Kluyveromyces lactis: one gene and its partners. The protein of the gene in region 1 interacts with the protein of each later gene in a biochemical or structural test. Links are inferred from orthologs where the notes say so. Each region holds a gene or a part of one and is shown on either strand. Other genes may lie near its edges.

Region 1 (5,362 bases):
CCAAGACCAACCAGAGCTGAAGTCTCTGATGTTGGTAACGCCGTTCTTGATGGTGCTGACTGTGTTATGTTGTCTGGTGAAACTGCCAAGGGTAACTACCCAATCAATGCCGTTAAGACCATGGCTGAAACTGCTTTGATTGCTGAACAAGCCATCCCATACATCCCAACTTACGATGACTTAAGAAACTTGACTCCAAAGCCAACCTCAACCACTGAAACTATCGCTGCTGCTTCTGTTTCTGCTGTATTTGAACAAAAGGCCAGAGCTTTGATTGTCCTATCCACCACCGGTGACACTCCAAGATTGGTTGCCAAGTACAAGCCAAATGTCCCAATTGTTATGGTTACTAGAAACCCAAGAGCTGCTAGATTCTCTCATCTATATAGAGGTGTCTTCCCATTCGTATACGATGAATCCTCTGACTCCGAATGGACTGTCGATGTTGAAAAGAGAATCAACTTCGGTGTCAAGAAGGCCAAGGAATTCGGAATTTTGGTTGACGGTGACACCATTGTCACCATTCAAGGTTTCGCCGCTGGTGTCGGTAACTCCAACACTCTACGTGTCTTGACCGTTTAAGATACTGGGTAAAATTGGACTAAAATCTTGTCGATCACCATTAGACTTGATTATGCAACTTATGAAGCCATAGACAAACATTTTCTAATTAATATATATATTTTAGGTAAAGAAAAAGACAATTAGATTGTACTCTACTATTATACTTACGTTGTGTCGAAAGATGAATAATTAATAAACAAATGAGTGCATGGAAAGAGTAATTACTAATTAAAAAAATTGGGCGCAATGATCATGCATGCTTTCATCCCAACAAGTATTAGATGGATATTCAATTATAAATCAAACACTAAGTTGAACTTCACATCAGGTTTTGCTTTATTTAATATAGGAATTAGTCGACGAATCAAGAAGTATTCCCATTGCTCTAAACCTTCATGATTCGCGTTGTAGTGATCATCAACCCTATTTTTTATGGTTTTAATCAAATGTAGTATAATATGACATCTGCCTTGCTCCGCTAACTTATCAAGATAGCTAGTGAATAACTCAAGATCTTTTTCATGGGGGCCATCCTCCACTGTGGCGTCCACCCAGTCGATAAGAGTTTCAGAAATCTGTTTCGCAGAACTTAATCCCTGGAACGAAAGCTGCGGAACAAGCCTCCCATCGTGTATGAAGTGTAAATCTTGCGTCTGCTTAATTTGCTTTCTGGGATCATCGTACAATTTTGTTCTCAAAGAACGATTGGCTTTTTTAACAACCTTATGATGAGATGTAATCTCTTCTTGAACATCTTTGGGTAAATTGGACATAAATTCAGGATCGAGTTGGTCAGGAAAGTCATATTGAAATGGGGTGATACTTCGCTTTAGATGGCGATCCCAATAGTTTTTTACGGGAGAAGTATATGTTGGGTTAACTGGAGTATGTGGCTCGGCTACTTTGGAGGGTTCGTTAGTGATGTCATCATCCGGATGGTCTCGTTTTCTAAATAAATCAGTCGTAATTTCCCTTTGTTCCGACTTTTGCCCCACTTTTTGGTTCGAATCAGTTAACCTGTGAAATTGAATACCAATTCCTCTAACTTCCTCTGGAGGAACACTTAAGATTCTAAATAAAGTTTTACATTCCGAAGCAATTGTACCAAATTTTTGTGTATTAGTTCCTAAGTTACTGACTTTACTAAGAGCGTCACATTTACCCATACCCATGAATTTTGGTGGATCTACAGGTGCGCCTTGAGCTCTCTTCATTAATTTCAAAGTTATTTGTCTTGTCATTAAATTTGAATCCCTAAGTTTTTCCCATAAATGGAGTGCGAGCCGTTCAAGGAAAATATCAACATCGTCTATGGTCTTAAACCTTATGGCATAATTTATTTCTACTGAGAGGGATTTCTTTTGAAAGTACGTATGAGGATCCTTTACCATACTTATGGATTCGTCGTCATCTTTACCATCAAGGTAAATCTGAAGTTTCTTGGTATTTTTGGAACCAATCACTTTTATTAGTTTAGAAACGTTGCTTGGCCTTTCTAAAAGATCTCTTAAGTCAGAGATGTTTTGAACATTTCCAAATTGTTCTTTTATTTTCAGATCTGTGCTATAACCAATACCAGGAAGATCTTTTAACTTAAAGTGATCTATGAATGCATGGCATTCAGTAACAGTATCAAACCAAGAAATATGGAACCCGTTTGGTTTCCCTTTCCTTAGGGCTAAACGAGCTAGCAATACGGATGGCCCGCACCCAACACTGACAGAGTATCCTTGAGTAACATTATAGACGGCATTTCTCACTTGCATGCATTTTTGAGTTAACAATTCAGAGGTAATATCGGGGGTAATCAACATGCAACCTATTGCTTCATCTATAGAAATTGGCAATACCATTTTGAAGATTCCAATATCTTTTAGAGCGCTGTAGAATAAATTTGAAATTGCTTCATATTCATCAAATTCATAATCTAATATTTTCAAGTCCGGGCATAGTTTCAAAGCAGATGATACCCACATACCGTTATAAACACCAAAAGAACGAGCCACATAATTGCAGCTGGATATATCAGAATTGTTGATACCATGAGAAATAGCGATAGGTGTGGCATGTATATCGTATTTACCATCGATTTTAGCAGACACTTGGGCAAAGAAGCAATCAAAGTCAATGTGGAAATACACATATTTTTGATCAGGAATTGTGTCGTTATATGACAAAATGAATTCTTTCACGAAGTTATCTCTTAACTGGAATTTCCAGTTCGATAAATGGTGTAGTCTTGAGGATTTGAAAAAAGCATTAATGAAGTTCGGATCCATACAGTTCCGTACTGTTGCGAAATCTGTAATCTTTCCCTGTAATCTGGAAACTTGGACAATTCTAAAGTCTTGCCATGGTAAAAGCTTCCCTCGAGCAATAGACTCAGTAACCCATTCGGGGCTGACAACCTTGAAATTGGCAAAAGATGATTTCTTGGATGCATTTAACTCTGTTGCAAGTATATGGGTGACTGCAGTCTTCCCACTAAGGTAATGCTTGAAAGTCCCACCATGTAAAATAATTAGTTTATGGAGTTGAAATCGAGTTGGATTCGTACGTCCATTCACATAGATAGTACACCCTTGAAAAAGTGTAGGATTTGAAACTCGATGTTCTTTTTGATATTTCTGTCTGAATTGAACATCACTTTCCAACTGTTGAAGTTCCTTATTATGAAAATATTCTCCATACCCTGAATATCCAACACTCGAGGAGGATGCTATATCTGGTTCATTTCTGTTGAAACTTGCAGTTACGTCTTGCTCCTCCTCTTTATTGTTCATGGCATTCGGAGTTATGAGTAAAACCAGTCCAGAACTCTGAAGTCTCCGTCAATGACCAGATAAGGACAAAAGGAAAATAAATGCTCAAGCTGATTATTGATAACACAAGGGCTGGAATCTGATAGATACACTATTGTTATAGCAAGGTACTTTCTAGAAGTACATTTGTGTCCGTATATTGATGTGTAGAACTCCTCCGCTGTTCAGAGTCCGCGTAGTCTCGATTTTTCCCTAACTTTGTTTATAAGTTATTGAAATCAGACAATGACCGATATACACACACGCACAGACACGACGGGAAACCAATGTTACCAAGCAAATCACAGTAATATTCAACCTCTTCCCATATTTTCTACTACTCTTTTTGTAAAGCTTCAAAAAATGGTTCCAGGGGGAAAAATGTTTGACTGCTTCCTTTTTTTTTCTAAGTGGATTTTTTTTCAAGATTTTCACCATACAAAGACAAAAACGTTGACCAGTTGGACGTAATCGTTCTAAAAGAACCGGTAGATCAATAAAAAAAAGATAAACAGTCCGGTTATTGTTGTTGATATCCAACCCCTCGCTAAGCTATGAAAATTGAAAGGTGTCTATTGGGAGACGTATGGTGCCACATATACCAGGGGCACAGGTTTGCCGTAGAAGCGATAGAAAGCATGCAATAAACGACGGTTGTTTATCCGAATCTGAACCCAAAAACCAAAGACAAACACGCAGCAGAAAAACAAAATGTTTTTCCGCAAAGCACTTTGTACGTCTTCTATTTTCTTTTTTTTGTCTTAGTTTTTCCGAGATGAGCAGCTGGAAATACTCAGTAGAAAGCTCAGTAGGAAAAACCACACCACTTCCCACGCATCTTGACGCAAAATTCCCATTCTGAGCATAATATTTTCCCATTCATTGAGCTTCCTATGTAAGGTTTATCCGACGTTTTATCTACTGCGGCGATTGCATGTTTGGCCCTTTTCACACCCTTCCACTGAAAAGCATGTTGAACAGGATTAAAACGCACGCCAGAGCACTAAGTGGTGCCATTCCCCTACGGATGAACCCAAAAACACACTGTCCATGAGCGGAAGCTGGCAGGAGTTAAGATGAAACGTTCCTTATCCTCTTCCCGTCCACGAAAGATATAGGCAGCGTTTCCAGAATGGGTGCACCCTAACATACGTATTTCCTAACGACCAGTTTGAAAATGGGCTGGAATGTGAACTATAATACGTTTTTCCCCTTTCCCCTCGCCAAGTTTTTGTTGGTCTTTTTTTGCTTTCTCTCTTTTCTTCTTTTACAACACATACAATGTAGCCGCAGGAATTTTTTTTCTAATATACTTCTGTAGCCGGAACATCGCTGTTGGATAAGGAATGGTCGCCGGAAAATCCTCATAATTTGCGCAGGCGCTATTTCCATTCCCATTGGCAACGGCTATTTTACGTATAGTTACTACTACTTTAAGTGTAAGACGATTTCCAGGATTCTATCGTGGATTATGGCACGCCTTGCTAGAGTCTTCTTTTGATTTAATTTTATCTCTTGTGTGCACGGAGGAAGTCCACTACTCAGGCATATTCTGTTGTCGGTTTGCATTGTGGTACCGAACATAAGCACGAAACTAGTGGTGAAAATGTCGTCTTCAATTTTCCCGTGCGTGTGATATTTCGGTATGTTACGGGCAGTGCGATATCTCTTAATTTGGCATGCTTCTTTAATCACCCACTGCTTTCTTTTTTTTCGCAACTTCTGGTTTCTCAAACGTAGAGCAAGAATGTATATCTTCTTGTCGCTGTAACATTAGGAAGCAAAAGGGGAGGACATGAGAGGGTGATTATGGGTTCCGCTTTGAGCTAGAATAGTCAAGATCTGCTTTTGTTTTTGTATTGGGTATGAAAGTGGTATCATTAAATCTGATTTTTCTTGCTTTTGCTTAATTAATCTATTTTCTACGCATAGTGGTTCTATAATTGTATATGTGTGTCTTTGTTTGAAATCATATATATTAGCATGGTTAAGTCTAC
Region 2 (3,780 bases), on another chromosome or scaffold:
GTGCGTTGAGGTCTGAAAACTTTCTTAAAGGATAATTAAAAAACCAGTTTCAGAAGTAACTTTAAAACGTTTGGACTCTTAAAATGCGATGATAATATTCAATTGAAAGAGTAATTTGGAATATCGGTCCAAAATAAAAAGGAAAGATTTTCAACGGGCGATAAGTGATTGAGCAATAATCTTCAAAACCCAGTCTAAAGCTATAGCGATCTAACTTTTGTGAACTCACTCTTTAATAAAGTATAATGAAACACCAATTAATTTATTGCCGTACAAGCTGTCTGGCAATGTGGTAGTTAATCATTTCCTCTGTCTTATAATCTTTGTTAATCCAAAATTCTTAAATTTCAATCTCAATAGAAAGGGCAAGATAAATCGTTTGAAACGATATTAACCACCCCTTTTCTCTGATAGAAGAAATCGCACAAAGAAGGGGACGTGGTGGCCTGTTCACATCGTTGCGTACGGTGTATTCGGGTAACTTATTCACGTGTTAATGTTTTGTTTTGGGTCACGTGAGTCGCCGTATATTTCTATCTAGGTGTCAGTGCCAGTGCCAGCGTTTGTATCGTCTGTATCATCCGAATCTATTTGAAACTATTTGAATAAATACACAAGTTAATTTACTCATCCCTTTTTCTTACCGAAAAAACTCTCAAGTGTACGTTGACTGGAGCGAGCCTTCTTTTTCTCGACTGGTGTTGCTGGTTTCTTTGACGGTTCTGCCGTTTTCGCTGATTTCACAGGCTTTGGTGGTTTCTTCGTTTCTGTAGCTGGTCTCTTAGTAACCATGTATCCATCTTCGTCTATATATGTGGTCTGTTCTTTCGATTCGTGGACTGGCTCTTCTTTTTCCTTTTCCTTTTCCTTTTCTGGTTGAGATAGTTCCATTAAGGATTCGTCTACCGTCGTGTCAAGTAGTTCTTCTAAGTTTGTGACAGTGCGGTCTAGATTTACTGGTTGTGATTCTTGTGAAGGTACTGATTCTATCGCTACAGGGTGGTTTACTTCAGCCTCTTCTTCGCTTTCCTCTTTCTTATCACGCTTTTTAGAATTTTTATCGAATTGGGCTAAATCATCGTCATCATCATCGTCAAACATCGAGGCCAGTTGGTCCAATTGTTTTTGTTTCTCTTGGCTTACCACGACGTGATTTTTATCCTGCTGCTGGTGCTTCCTCCTTTCCAATTCCTCTTGTCTGTTCTTCTCCTTCTCCTCTCTTTCTCTTCTCATTCTGGCCAGAAGTTCAGTAGATTTTAGACCCATACTCTTAGTTGGTTTCTTAGGTTTTGTAACAGCAACTTCTGGGAACGTCTTTGCCCGTTGCTTCGTTACGACCGGTTCTGCCTCAGACTTTTTCTTGGGGCCGGCCACCATTTTTTGAGTCACATCTTGGGTGGTTATGTTAATTACACTTCCAATACCATCGCTTGTCTGGGGCCGTGTGCCATTTTGATTGTGCAGCTTGTAGGGGTTCTTGATCGTAACGTGTGTTCTTTCTCTATTTGTCAAATCAATAGTTTCCAGTGGGTTGAACGCATAGATGAAGAAATCCTTTATGTCTTCCTTTTCCGGTAGTTTCTCGGGATCCGTAATCATTTGTATTACATTGTGCTTCAAAACACATACTACAATGCATTGGATCGACTCATGTCTCGTAGTGCTATAGTACTGTACCATCTCATTCTTTGCTTTGTTCACATTTATCGAAAACTCATCGCACAAGTCTAAAAATGTTACAGGTTTACAGTCATTGATGAGTTTCTGCGTGATAAAATTCTCTATCGCTGTTACCATATTTCGATGATGATCAGCTCGAGCTTGCTTGCTCTTTTTATTATTCTCTCTCTTCAATTCTCATCGCTCTGTGCAGATAGCACTAAATGATGATTGAGTGAAGTTGCGTCTTTTTTTTTTTTGGTTAGCACCGTTTACGCGTAACAAAGTGTTGACAATTAGACATTAAGGCTCAATGGGGGGAAGCTTCGCAATAGTAGTGAAAGGGTCGATGTATGATACTAATGATCACCCCATATAAGAATTGGGTATATAAAATTATTACATAGTATGTGAAAGAGAAGGAACCACTCTAGTTTTAACTCTATTTTTAATGTAGTTAGGTTAAACAGAAATATTTTGAGCATGATGTAGGGGAAAAGGCAGTGACAATTATCAGTAATAGGTGTTGACGAAGCTTTTTCTACAACAGGATTCAAACACAGGTATAACCACCGTCAACTTGGATATCACAACCGTTGGTGTAAGAAGCAGCATCGGAAGCCAAGTATAAGTAAGCACCGACCAATTCTTGTGGCAAAGCTTCACGACCCACTGGTGTTAGACCCCACCAGTGAGCACGTTGTTCAGTAGGAACGAAGGAGGATAGCAGAGTATCAGTGTAACCTGGTGATACAGAGTTACATCTGATCTTACCAGCTGGAGAGGTCAAACCAGAGAATTCGACGGCGAAACCCTTGGCCATGTGTCTTACTGCAGCTTTAGAAGCGTTGTAACAGGTTTGGTAGTTTGGAACGTTACTGATGTAACTAGACATAGAAGCAGTCAAGATCAAATTACCGTGGCCTTGGTTCTTGAATACTTCAGCAGCGTACCTGCTACAGTGGTAAGTACCTTGGACGTTAACGTCCATGACTCTGCGCCACATTTCTGGGGTGGAACCATCGTTCAAGATAGAACCGTTAGTCCAGGCAATACCTGCGTTAGCAATGAATGTGTTAATTGCACGACCTGGGAAATCTTCCAAGATTCTTTCAAAGACAAATTTAACGTCGTCAGCGTTGGTAATATCTACTTGGTATGACTTGGATTCAATCCCGTAAGTCTTGCTCAAATGGACGGAAAGTTCTGGTTGGAAGGTTCTGTCCAAAATAATGACATCTGAACCACAAGAAGCGAAACCCTCACATAGAGCGCCACCAATGGCACCAGCACCACCAGTAATAACGGTCAATTTGCCCTTTTGACTGAACAAATTGAGGTAATTGACACCTTGTGGGTACTGTTCCGTTGGAGGAGCTTGTGGAACGACGGTGTCTTCAGTTGGAGTCTTGATGAAACTTTGGAATGACATATCTGTGTCTGATGAGGTTAATTGATAGTGTGGATTTCGCTTGTTCAAATTTCCCAATTATGAACCCAATTGAGGGAATAAAGCATATTGCAAGCAAGATTGGAGCAGCAATAGGGTTGAAACTAAAAAGTTACAATTATTTATATATGCATAATTTGTATTTTCGTTTCTTCGGATAAACTTAGAAGTATTTCACTTGAAAAATTATATGGTTTAGAACATACAAACATCTCAGGAATCAAATCAAAAAAAAAAAAAGCTACCTTGCTTTGTGCCTTTCCACCCACCCCCCACACATGCACACATATATACCGTACAAGTATGTGTAATGCAACTGAGGGACAAGTCATCTATTTGATTCCTCAAGCCAGTGTCCTTCCTTTATTACTGCCCCGATGTATTTTTTTTCCAAGCAATCAATACGGATCCCTAAACATACATCACCTCGACTCAGCTTCTTGATCAGTGTTTTCCCACAGAAGCCGTTGTACCTGCAAGCGGCGGGAAATCCAAAAAAAAAAAAAAAAAAAAATAGCCTCGGTGTCATCTTTTTTCTTTTGAAACCGGTGAAACTTCAAGGTCGACAAATAAAGAAAAGGAAAAAAAGAAAATCCCAGATTTCCACAACAAGGAAGAGCTTGCTCGAATTTGGGACTGAATCGGCCTACAATGTACTAGCTCATACTGTG
Region 3 (4,397 bases), on another chromosome or scaffold:
TCGAGTTTTTTCAATGGTATTGATACTTTTATTTTCCAACGTACTAAGATCCAATTTAATAGCAAACAATATTAAATCTTTGTCTATTACTCACCAAGATATACCTGAAATCTCTTTTGTGAGTTGGTTATATTGGTCCATTTCACTGACAAACATTATATTCTTTCGACATTGTATTTCTCTTGTTTCACTTGTCGGATCATAATTTGAAATGAAGTATACTTTTCTGTGACTTTTAAGGGTTTTCATGCTATTGTTTAGTACTTGATAGCAAAATGGGACTGTACAAATATAGTTCTTTCTCTCATGTGATTGATTGACTTATGAGAAGCAGGTGCTTCTATTAGAAAATCGTTTACTTGTGGGCCCTGATTCTTATGGTTATATAGTATTTTTGCACATAGTTTTTTTTCCATGCAGTGGACGTTGATTCCCATTGTAACCTTGTGGAGCGCTGTAATACTCTAACAGGTATCTTAAAGCACCGACAGCGGTCCATCCGATACGCCTCTTACTTTTCAAGCGTTGATGATGTATCCTTTCCACTGTATTAAAGAGCATCATCATGACTTAAAGAAAAAGATAACAAAATGAAAACCATGCAGACCGTTCAATGTTGTACACCTTAAAGTAAAATAAGAAATAACAAGGACAAGCTGGAAGACCGTTGATGCCGTTACCGCTACAAGAAAGTACAATGTCCGATGACTCTGTAGATCGTGTGTTTGAGAAAGCTATTGTTACAATTCAAACCCTTTCCTCTCAAAAAGGGTATCACTCATTACCAAGACCACCAGCGAATGTGAGGATTCAACTATATGCATTGTTCAAACAGTCCACAGAAGGAGACGTCAGCCATATATTGGATAAGCCGGACGGTAATCCTACATCACCGGATTATAACTTAGCCTTACGTAAATGGGAGGCATGGAAGAGTAAGGAAGGATTGTCGAAGACTGAAGCTAAAAGAGCCTACATTGAATTGTTGATCCACACCATGAAGACATACGCTATGGGGACCATCGTTGCGCGAGAACTACTTTCAGAATTAGAGTTTATGTGGTGGCAGATAAGCCATTCTAATACGTTTGATGGAAATGAGGGGCCTGAATATCAAGATGAAACGAATAGTGTATTGATGCTAACAAATGATAACGACATGGATAACGGATCAGAGAAGATTAGAAGAGAAGTATATGAGACTCTCGCTACCCTACGACCCAATTCAATCCAAAATGGTATAAGTCTCGCGCCGATCGGATCAGGTCTATCTGATAAGAGTGAAGAATTCTATGCTATTTGGATCACCCTCAAAAGAATACTGACAAAGCTTCTCACAATCAGTAGAGGCATAGTAACATACCTCGGGAAGCGTATAATGTCTCAATCGCTCATACTACTATTCATGTTGTTTGTCGTAAAATATTCCGACAAATCTATTGATCTAGCTCTAGATAAAGTAGACTCCCGTCATTCTTCATGGATATCTAAACTAATTCAGTTATTAAGCCAATTCACAGGGATAAGTAAGGTCAGTCTACAAGTTCAATAATTAAGTAAATAAGTCATCGCGTCCTACTAGCCATACACCTAGAGTGGTGAGGAACTGAATTATATGCATTTAAGTAATGACTCTTTATCGGCGTTCCTATTCCTATTTACTTTTTTCTTTTTGAACAAGTCATCTCATCTCATCTCTTGTTCTGTTGAATTGTACGGGGTTCATTAAAACAAGTGCCTTAGTACAACGTAGATATTCGAAGTGAAATGGAAACTAAAGTAAGCAGCTGGGTGCTAAAGATCGCATTTCAGGAAATTGATGGTATAGCATAATGTCGAAATACAGATGGCGAGATTTGATTGATTTGAATGACAAAGAGAAGAGCTTTCTTTCTCCATTAGCATGCATTGCACACATTGATGTCAATGCCTTTTTTGCACAGGTAGAACAGGTACGATGCGGTTTTTCAAGGGATGATCCGGTAGTTGCAGTACAATGGACTAGTATTTTAGCCGTTTCTTATGCAGCTCGAAAGTATAATGTGTCCCGCATGGAGAGCATACTTGATGCGATAAAAAAGTGTGATAAAATCATTCCGATACACACAGCTGTTTTCCGTAAAGGGGAAGACTATTGGCAGTACCATGATGGGTGCGGATCATGGGTAGAAGACGAGAGTAAAAAGTTAAGTCCAACAAACTATAAAGTTGCCTTAGAACCGTACAGAAGAGAAAGTCGCAAACTCATCAAATTATTTCAAGATGAATACGATTTAGTTGAGAAAGCCAGTGTGGACGAAGCTTTCATAGAATTGGGACGCAAATTATTTTATGAACTTCTCATGGATGATTCCTATACCGATTTTGCTGATATTAGGGGTATTTTCCAGGATGGAAGGTACGATTTAAATGACCATTTACCCAGTTTACCAACTAAACTCAGCATTCAGTTCAGTGGAGAGGTATTCAATTCACAGAATAGGCCCTTATTTGAGGATTGGGATGATGTCCTTATGTGCTTAGCAAGTAATTCTACTAACACAATCAGAAACCAAATTGATGATATGTTGGGATATACCACATCTTGTGGTATATCAATGACGAAGAATCTTAGCAAGCTTGCTTCTAATTACAAGAAACCCAATGCGCAAACCATTGTAAAGAACAACTGTATAGATGATTTCCTTGATTGCGGGAAGTTTGAAATCAATTCCTTTTGGACATTGGGTGGCATACGTGGAAAGGAATTAATTGATTTGATGGAACTTCCCAAAGAACATTCTATAAAGTTCATTAGAGATTCATGGCCAGTTTCAAGCGATGACATCAGAAAATTCATGCTCAAGAAAATCATATGCAGAGATATACAAAGGTCTAGAGAGTACAACATTAATGAAGCCGATGTTGCCAAAATAAGTGCGAAAATCTATCAATTAGTAAGAGGCCAATTCAGGTTGCCTGTCGAACCGCGACCATTGCCAAAATCTATGATGTCGAAGAAAAATTTGAGAAATGATGATTGTGCTAGCGTTATTGACTGCATTGAATGGCTTGAAATCTTTTGCAGTGAACTAAACTACCGTGTACATGACTTAGAACAAGAATATGAAAAGGTAATAATGCCAAGAACAATTGTTATCATGATTAAGGGCAAAGCAGGCATGAAATATACTCAAACCCGAAGAATCACTACCGCTTCAAGTAGTATAACGTCCAGAGAGTTATTCATCAATGCAACAAAATTGATAAACGAGATTGATAAGCAACATGGCAAGCTTGCCGGTGTTTACCCTTTGAGAGAACTCTCGTTGACTCTTTCCAATTTTGATATAATAGACAAGGGGAAAACTGTCCTTGATATGTTCGGTAATCGAGCAATCTCAAAATCATCTTCAACTGATAACAACGTCGTAAAGATAGAAGGTGAAGACATACATTCAGATTCGAAAGGTGGCCCTTATGATGCGTCTGTTTCAGAGACACTCGAGGGAGAACCACCAAGTGCTTCTTCTCCTCCTACAATGGCTGAAAATTTAACTTGCAAACAGTGCGGGGAAACTCTACAGGACAAAAAACTGTTCCAAGAGCACGTCGATTATCATCTATCAGTTCAATTATCAGAACAGATTAACGGAGTATCAGAGAACTCAACAATGCTGACGCACGCAGAAAGAATCCTTCTCTTCGGAAAGAAAGCTAAGAAGAATGCCGCATCAGTGCAAAAACCCAAAAAAAAAGATGGAGGAATCATGAAGTTCTTCAAGAAGTGATAAATCTCCACCCACATATACTTGTATATTTATAGTTAATCGTATCATCGTCTTACCAGTGGCATTTATATGAGGAGCGTGGTTAGTAACGAGGTTCCAGTCGCATATCCGGGTAATATCTTGCTTTTCGTCTTTCTTTCTTTTCTGAATTCCACATTCGATTTCGAACTTAAAATAGACAATTAAGAGATCCAATGTTTGTTAAATAAGTGTGTAAGTTGTAATTTTAGCCAGATCTTTTTAACCTCAAAAGGTCAACAGGAAGAGGGAAGCAAGCGATACCCAGCGTTAAAAGCAGCTAACGCACACATATTCTCTGAACAGCTTCCAGGCTGTTATACAGCTACTTTGGACTACAACTCATTTTCTTTTACAAGAACCACCTCATTAAATCTGGAGAAGCTTTCATTCTCAGATTATAGACGACATTCTCATTTGGATGTGTTTTGTCAAATCAAGATTCTACTATTGATACCTTTGAATGCACGTACGACGTAATACCTACCATTATCCACTGCTGTGGCTATTTGCTCTTATAATATGTTGCGAAGGACGGATACTTCCGAGCTGGTTTTGGCACTCATCGTCTATTTCTAAACATTTCGGTACTACTTCAGCGGCGAACGA
Region 4 (5,123 bases), about 580 kb from region 1:
TCTATTTCTAGAATGTCTAGGAATGATGAGAACTGAGAAAATACGATTATTTGTTCACCAGGAGAAGTTTCTTGTATTTGCTTGAGATGCCTCAATAAAGCTTTAATTTTAGTCGATTGGAAATGTGAATGAAACGAAATTAGTTCATATCCTCTTTCAGCATCAATTGGCTCCTTTAGCTTTAACACATTAGCTTCTGAGATCGGCATTCTACAATATGGACAGTTGATGGATAGTTTTTTATTTTGCTGAAATTCAATGTATTCTGCCAAACAAGGTTCACAAAATGTGTGGAGACACTCTGTTATAGAGACCGCAGACAGCGGTTCAATACACTCAGTGGTGCAAATAGCACATTCAAAAGAAGGTAATTGCTCTGAAGCGCTGTGAATATCACGAAAGTTCGCACTTAAAGCATCCAATTTATCTTGAGAAATGGAACTTTTTGGTGACTTAATATTTTTTGGCATGAGGATGGAGGAGATGTTTTGAGTTGAGTTCTCCAGATCTTCAAGATCTGGGTCTCCGAGATCTGGTGTCTTTTTGAGTAAATCCAAATGACAGCAGACTTGTCTAAGTCTTAAAATATGGACCAAGATATTAGTGTAGTTCTTCAATAGATCACCTTTGGCCAACCCTTCTTTAACAGAGTTTTCCGCATCTTCTAACATGGATTGATAAACTCTTTTCTCACTGGATGAAAGTTGCAACTTTTCGACGATTACTTCCTTTGGAGGTAAAGAGACTAAAGGTTTGCCATCAACATCCTTCATATTCTTCGTTCTTCTGAGAAGCACAGGCTCCAATACTGCATTTATGACATCAAATGCCTGCGCATAGTTACCTTTCTCGAAAGGAACTGAAACGTAACGCTTCCAATAGTTGATGTGAGACCAGGGCTCTAAGTTCAAGAACTGAACTAAGGAAAATAGATCGTCAAGTCGATTGATGATTGGTGTTCCTGTCAAGATCCATTTTCTGGAACTCCGCAAGGCTATGACAGCTTTAGATGTCCTTGTACTTCTATTTCTAATCGTATGACCTTCATCCAATATTATTCTAAAGAAGACCACATTGAATAATCCCGATGTTGAGGTTCTCCCATATTCGCTCTGAATTATCCCATAAGTAGTTATGATTACTGAGGGAGCGTTGGGGCCAAGCACATACGCCCTTAAATCTTTAATATTATTCCCGTAATAAATTTCACAACGTTTTTTGAGGTCCTTGTTGGCCTTTTCGAATTCTGATTGCCACTGATTCAATAAGGACATCGGCACTACTATCAACGTCGTCCTGTAAGCATAAGTGTCATGCTTATGTTGAGAATGGCGTAATGGAGAGGAATCCACTTGAGAAGACATCTCCTTCATAGAAGGCTTTTTGGTTGACTCAATTTTCTTTTCATGAGCCTCATCATAGCTAGCAGTACAAATCAATGCTAAAGCTGATATTGTTTTCCCTAGACCCATCTCATCCGCCAAAATACCTCCATTGATTATCGTCTTAATGACCGGCTTCTCGATAGAAAACTCACCAGTGTATAAATTAGCATAAAAGAAGCAATCATCTTCGTGGTTTGGAGTCCCTTGTTTTGAATTAGATGGCCAGCGGAATTTCTTCCATAGTGGATTCATACTATTCCCATCAATAGACACTTCTGCGGCTTTCTCTGATAAATGACTATACTCGTATTCTCTTTTGAGCATCCATGACAAACTTTGCTTTTGGTACCTTCTCAATTGCAATTTAAAAAGTGATTCATCTGGGGTAGTTTCTGGTAAGTTTTGCAATGAGGCCGCGGACTGTGTAATTCTGTAAAATGATTTTAGTTGATTGATGTTCAAAGCTTCATCCTGAAACTGGGAACTAGAAACAGTGTTTTCTTGGTAGTTAGGTATCATCTCATTTTTGGTGTCTCCGTACACTGGTTGTATATTTATCGCATCAAACAATGCCATTATCGCTCCGGCGCGATGCAACTGACGTGTGTCCATGCCATGGTCATTGATAAAAGATTTGTTCAGAATACTTCCGCCTTCAATGCGGACGAAAGCCTGTGAGGTCAAATAACAATCAATTCTGATGTAAATATTATCTCCAACACTGAATCTCTTACCATTATTAATGAGAAGATATGGCTCCAGACTGACCTGTTCGCTGTAGTCTAAAAGTGGGTACAATATTCTTGCAACATCTTCAGGCATTCGACCAAGTTCTCTATCCTGTGAGGTATCGATTAAGCGAACTAAATGCGAACAGTGCTGGTGCTGAAGTGATTTACCTAAGGGAAGATCCTTCGGTACAGATTTTTTAAAACCTAAACGGGATCCGATAGGAACTGGTTTTACGGTTGGCCGTGTAGCGAATCCCATAGTATGAATAGACCCAATGTAACGAGACCATCGGTTCCTTCCCTTGTCAGATGACATAGGTGATTCTAAACCTGCTTGGGTGCTGGTCCTCTTATTTGTAAACAGTTGGGATAATTGGGACGAAGACGGCAGAATAGACAATTCGTCATCATTTTCTTCATCCGACAAATCTATCACCTCTATATTATCACCAGCCGGCATTTTAGATTCAGTTTTACTTTTGGAAAGTAATTCCTTGTCCTCAAAGAATTTATCAGCTGCAATACTTATACCATCTTTGAGCAGACCATATGAACTCCAAAGAGTGTGGAGTTGAGAGGACGAAATCATATTTTCTCCAAGAATCTCCTTCAAAGATTCAAAAAACCTTTCCTTATGATTAGATGTATTACTTGATACTTCTGAGGAACTTTCAACATGTCCTTGGCCATCATCAGAATCATCTGCCTCATCCTGTACAAAAAGAGATCGAGATTCGTTCAAATTTATTACAGATTCATCTTCATCACGAAAGAACCTTGGTTTTTCATCAGCTTTTTGCGGCTGTGTCATACTTTGGGTGCCCGTATTGCTAGAATCAGGTCAACTGAAAGATATATATGGGTAGTGTTCCAAGTATTCCTTTGCTGTGCCTGAAATGATTAGTAAAGAGATGAGCTGAGATGAGACGCGAATAAGTTAACAATTTCTTAATGCAAAACAAACGCACGTGACGCGTAAATGAATAAAGTTTTTGTGAATAAAAAAAACTTCGAACTTGAAAACTTCCAGAAAATACCACGTTGTGGAAACATAATGGAAATAAGAAACAAAATAGAAACAAAAGAGAAATCGGTTCGTATTCCTATGAAGTACCACAAGCTGAAATTTCAAAGCATCGAAACAATTTCATTTCCCAATGTCAGACAATAAAAGTATAGAGAGAGAGAGAGAAAGAACTTGGATTCTATATGAGTTTTAGTGCTAACAATCCCGAAAAGATCGGACTTAACTCTGGATAACTGAAAATAGCGGGGTTCTGCGGGGTTTAAGTTCAATTACTACCAGAGAAGACTGTAATCCAGGACTGTTTCCATCCAATACTTATCTCCGTTTAGAAGTACGTTTTCGACACACTGTGTGAGATTATATGTTATATTATAACTGTTATAGAGATGAGTTGGAATGGTAACAAGTTGGTATAAAATATGGTATCATACCACGCAGGTGATATTCATCCTTTTATTTGTTGGTTTTTCTGTTGTTGTTCCTTTAGATTGTATTGTGCAAGCGTCAGACTCTAGCAACGATGCAGTTAATACCTTTATTGTGGTCGGTGCAGCTGTTGTATTAGTGGTATTTGGGATTTCTATTAGTTTTGCTCGTGTATTGATCTTTCGAAGATCATTACAAGATATACCGAAGAAATACATTCCAGTAACTGCGCAGGATATGCGTCATAAACCTTCAAGGGAATATGTGATTGAAAATATGAAGAGAGCTGGAGAATTGGCGGAAAAGTTTAAAGTACCGAAAGAGCCTGTCTTACATGCTGGCATGGAACCAAAAGACAGTGATATGTTTCCTGAACACTTGAAATATGCGGAAATTGTTAAATTTATCTCTGATAGGTTTAGATTCGACGGGGCTTTGCTGTTGAATTTTGTCACTGAATCGGATCTCAGTACAACTTTCAAAACAGCACTTCATAAACTTTTCGAGAATGAAAAACACCCTTATAAGCAGTATTTGGATGAGTTTATCTCGCTTTATGAGAAATTCCGATTTAGTGGACAAGATATTGAACGAAACGATTTCGTAAAATTCTTAAGACTCTACAAATATCTCGCTGATTTATCGAATAATTTGGATTTAACAAGAATCGAGTCTGTCCCATCCCAATTTCTTCACGTTCCTACTGAAGATTATGACACTGATGCCAGATCTAGAACGGACTCCGAATTCTCAACTCCATATTTACGACCTTACCCGTCTGACGCCTTCATGCATAATACAACCCCTGCATCACATGTGGGCTCTCGCTCCAGTAACTTCAGTTACGATATAGATGAGTCTGCAGAACCACCAGAATCTGTGGAAGACCAACAAAGATATCATGACATGCTCACTAGAGTAGACACTTACAATACCGTCATACATAGATGATTAAAATACCGGACAGTTTCTGTAACTTATTAATTAAAGCTTTTGGACTTAATAATTATAAACAACAACGACTCTTATCTTATATAATACACAACGATGCAGAAAGGCATCAAAAAAGAGAACATGACTAGGAGGGTATCATTAGCAAACAACCCATCGTATCGAGAACTTTGATGTCAATTCGAAATCAATATACCTGGATATAAGCTGGCAAGTAGTTCTGGTTCACGCTCATAATTCTGAAACTTCCGAAATCCATCTGTTCAATTGTTGCTTGGTGGGTTCATGTGGCACGCCTTGTAATACATCATTGATGAACTTTTCCGTCAGAACGCTAAACTCATCCGAGTATTTTCTGAGCACACTCTTTAAGAAACCCATAATTGCTTCGTATTTCCACGCAAGGTCTAATGATGGTAACTCTTCGTCTGTTGCCTGAATGTCTTGATCAAGATCTGGAACAACAATTGGATCAATAGTGTTCAATTGCGACAATACCTCGTTAGCAGCACCCACCAACCTGTTGAAGACATACTCAAAAGAACCAACATCTTTGTCAGCAGCCATAGCCAGCTCATTCAAAATTCTGAAAATAGACTCAAT

Evidence for each region.
Region 2: the proteins of REV1 (region 1) and POL32 form a complex in vitro, tested with the Saccharomyces cerevisiae proteins (2 studies listed by BioGRID). The link is inferred for Kluyveromyces lactis from reciprocal best matches to the Saccharomyces cerevisiae genes REV1 and POL32.
Region 3: the proteins of REV1 (region 1) and RAD30 form a complex in vitro, tested with the Saccharomyces cerevisiae proteins (3 studies listed by BioGRID). The link is inferred for Kluyveromyces lactis from reciprocal best matches to the Saccharomyces cerevisiae genes REV1 and RAD30.
Region 4: the proteins of REV1 (region 1) and RAD5 form a complex in vitro, tested with the Saccharomyces cerevisiae proteins (2 studies listed by BioGRID, with this or other methods). The link is inferred for Kluyveromyces lactis from reciprocal best matches to the Saccharomyces cerevisiae genes REV1 and RAD5.

The regions. Positions count from the first base shown.
Region 1 is NC_006042.1:2,179,971-2,185,332, reverse strand, and holds REV1 (deoxycytidyl transferase), read right to left. Parts: upstream 3,348-5,362; coding exon 858-3,347; downstream 1-857. Other genes in the region: pyruvate kinase PYK2, read left to right, coding at 1-582. UniProt on the Saccharomyces cerevisiae protein: Deoxycytidyl transferase involved in DNA repair. Transfers a dCMP residue from dCTP to the 3'-end of a DNA primer in a template-dependent reaction.
Region 2 is NC_006041.1:1,996,204-1,999,983, reverse strand, and holds POL32 (DNA polymerase delta subunit POL32), read right to left. Parts: upstream 1,798-3,780; coding exon 628-1,797; downstream 1-627. Other genes in the region: KLLA0_E22397g (uncharacterized protein), read right to left, coding at 2,213-3,091. UniProt on the Saccharomyces cerevisiae protein: DNA polymerase delta (DNA polymerase III) participates in chromosomal DNA replication.
Region 3 is NC_006037.1:167,259-171,655, reverse strand, and holds RAD30 (DNA-directed DNA polymerase eta), read left to right. Parts: upstream 1-1,832; coding exon 1,833-3,770; downstream 3,771-4,397. Other genes in the region: KLLA0_A01870g (acyl-CoA-binding domain-containing protein), read left to right, coding at 671-1,552; HKR1 (Hkr1p), read left to right, coding at 4,252-4,397. UniProt on the Saccharomyces cerevisiae protein: DNA polymerase specifically involved in DNA repair. Plays an important role in translesion synthesis, where the normal high fidelity DNA polymerases cannot proceed and DNA synthesis stalls. Plays an important role in the repair of UV-induced pyrimidine dimers.
Region 4 is NC_006042.1:1,601,705-1,606,827, forward strand, and holds the start of RAD5 (DNA helicase RAD5), read right to left. Parts: upstream 2,928-5,123; coding exon 1-2,927. Other genes in the region: DLT1 (Dlt1p), read left to right, coding at 3,540-4,520; STO1 (Sto1p), read right to left, coding at 4,752-5,123. UniProt on the Saccharomyces cerevisiae protein: Probable helicase, member of the UBC2/RAD6 epistasis group. Functions with the DNA repair protein RAD18 in error-free postreplication DNA repair.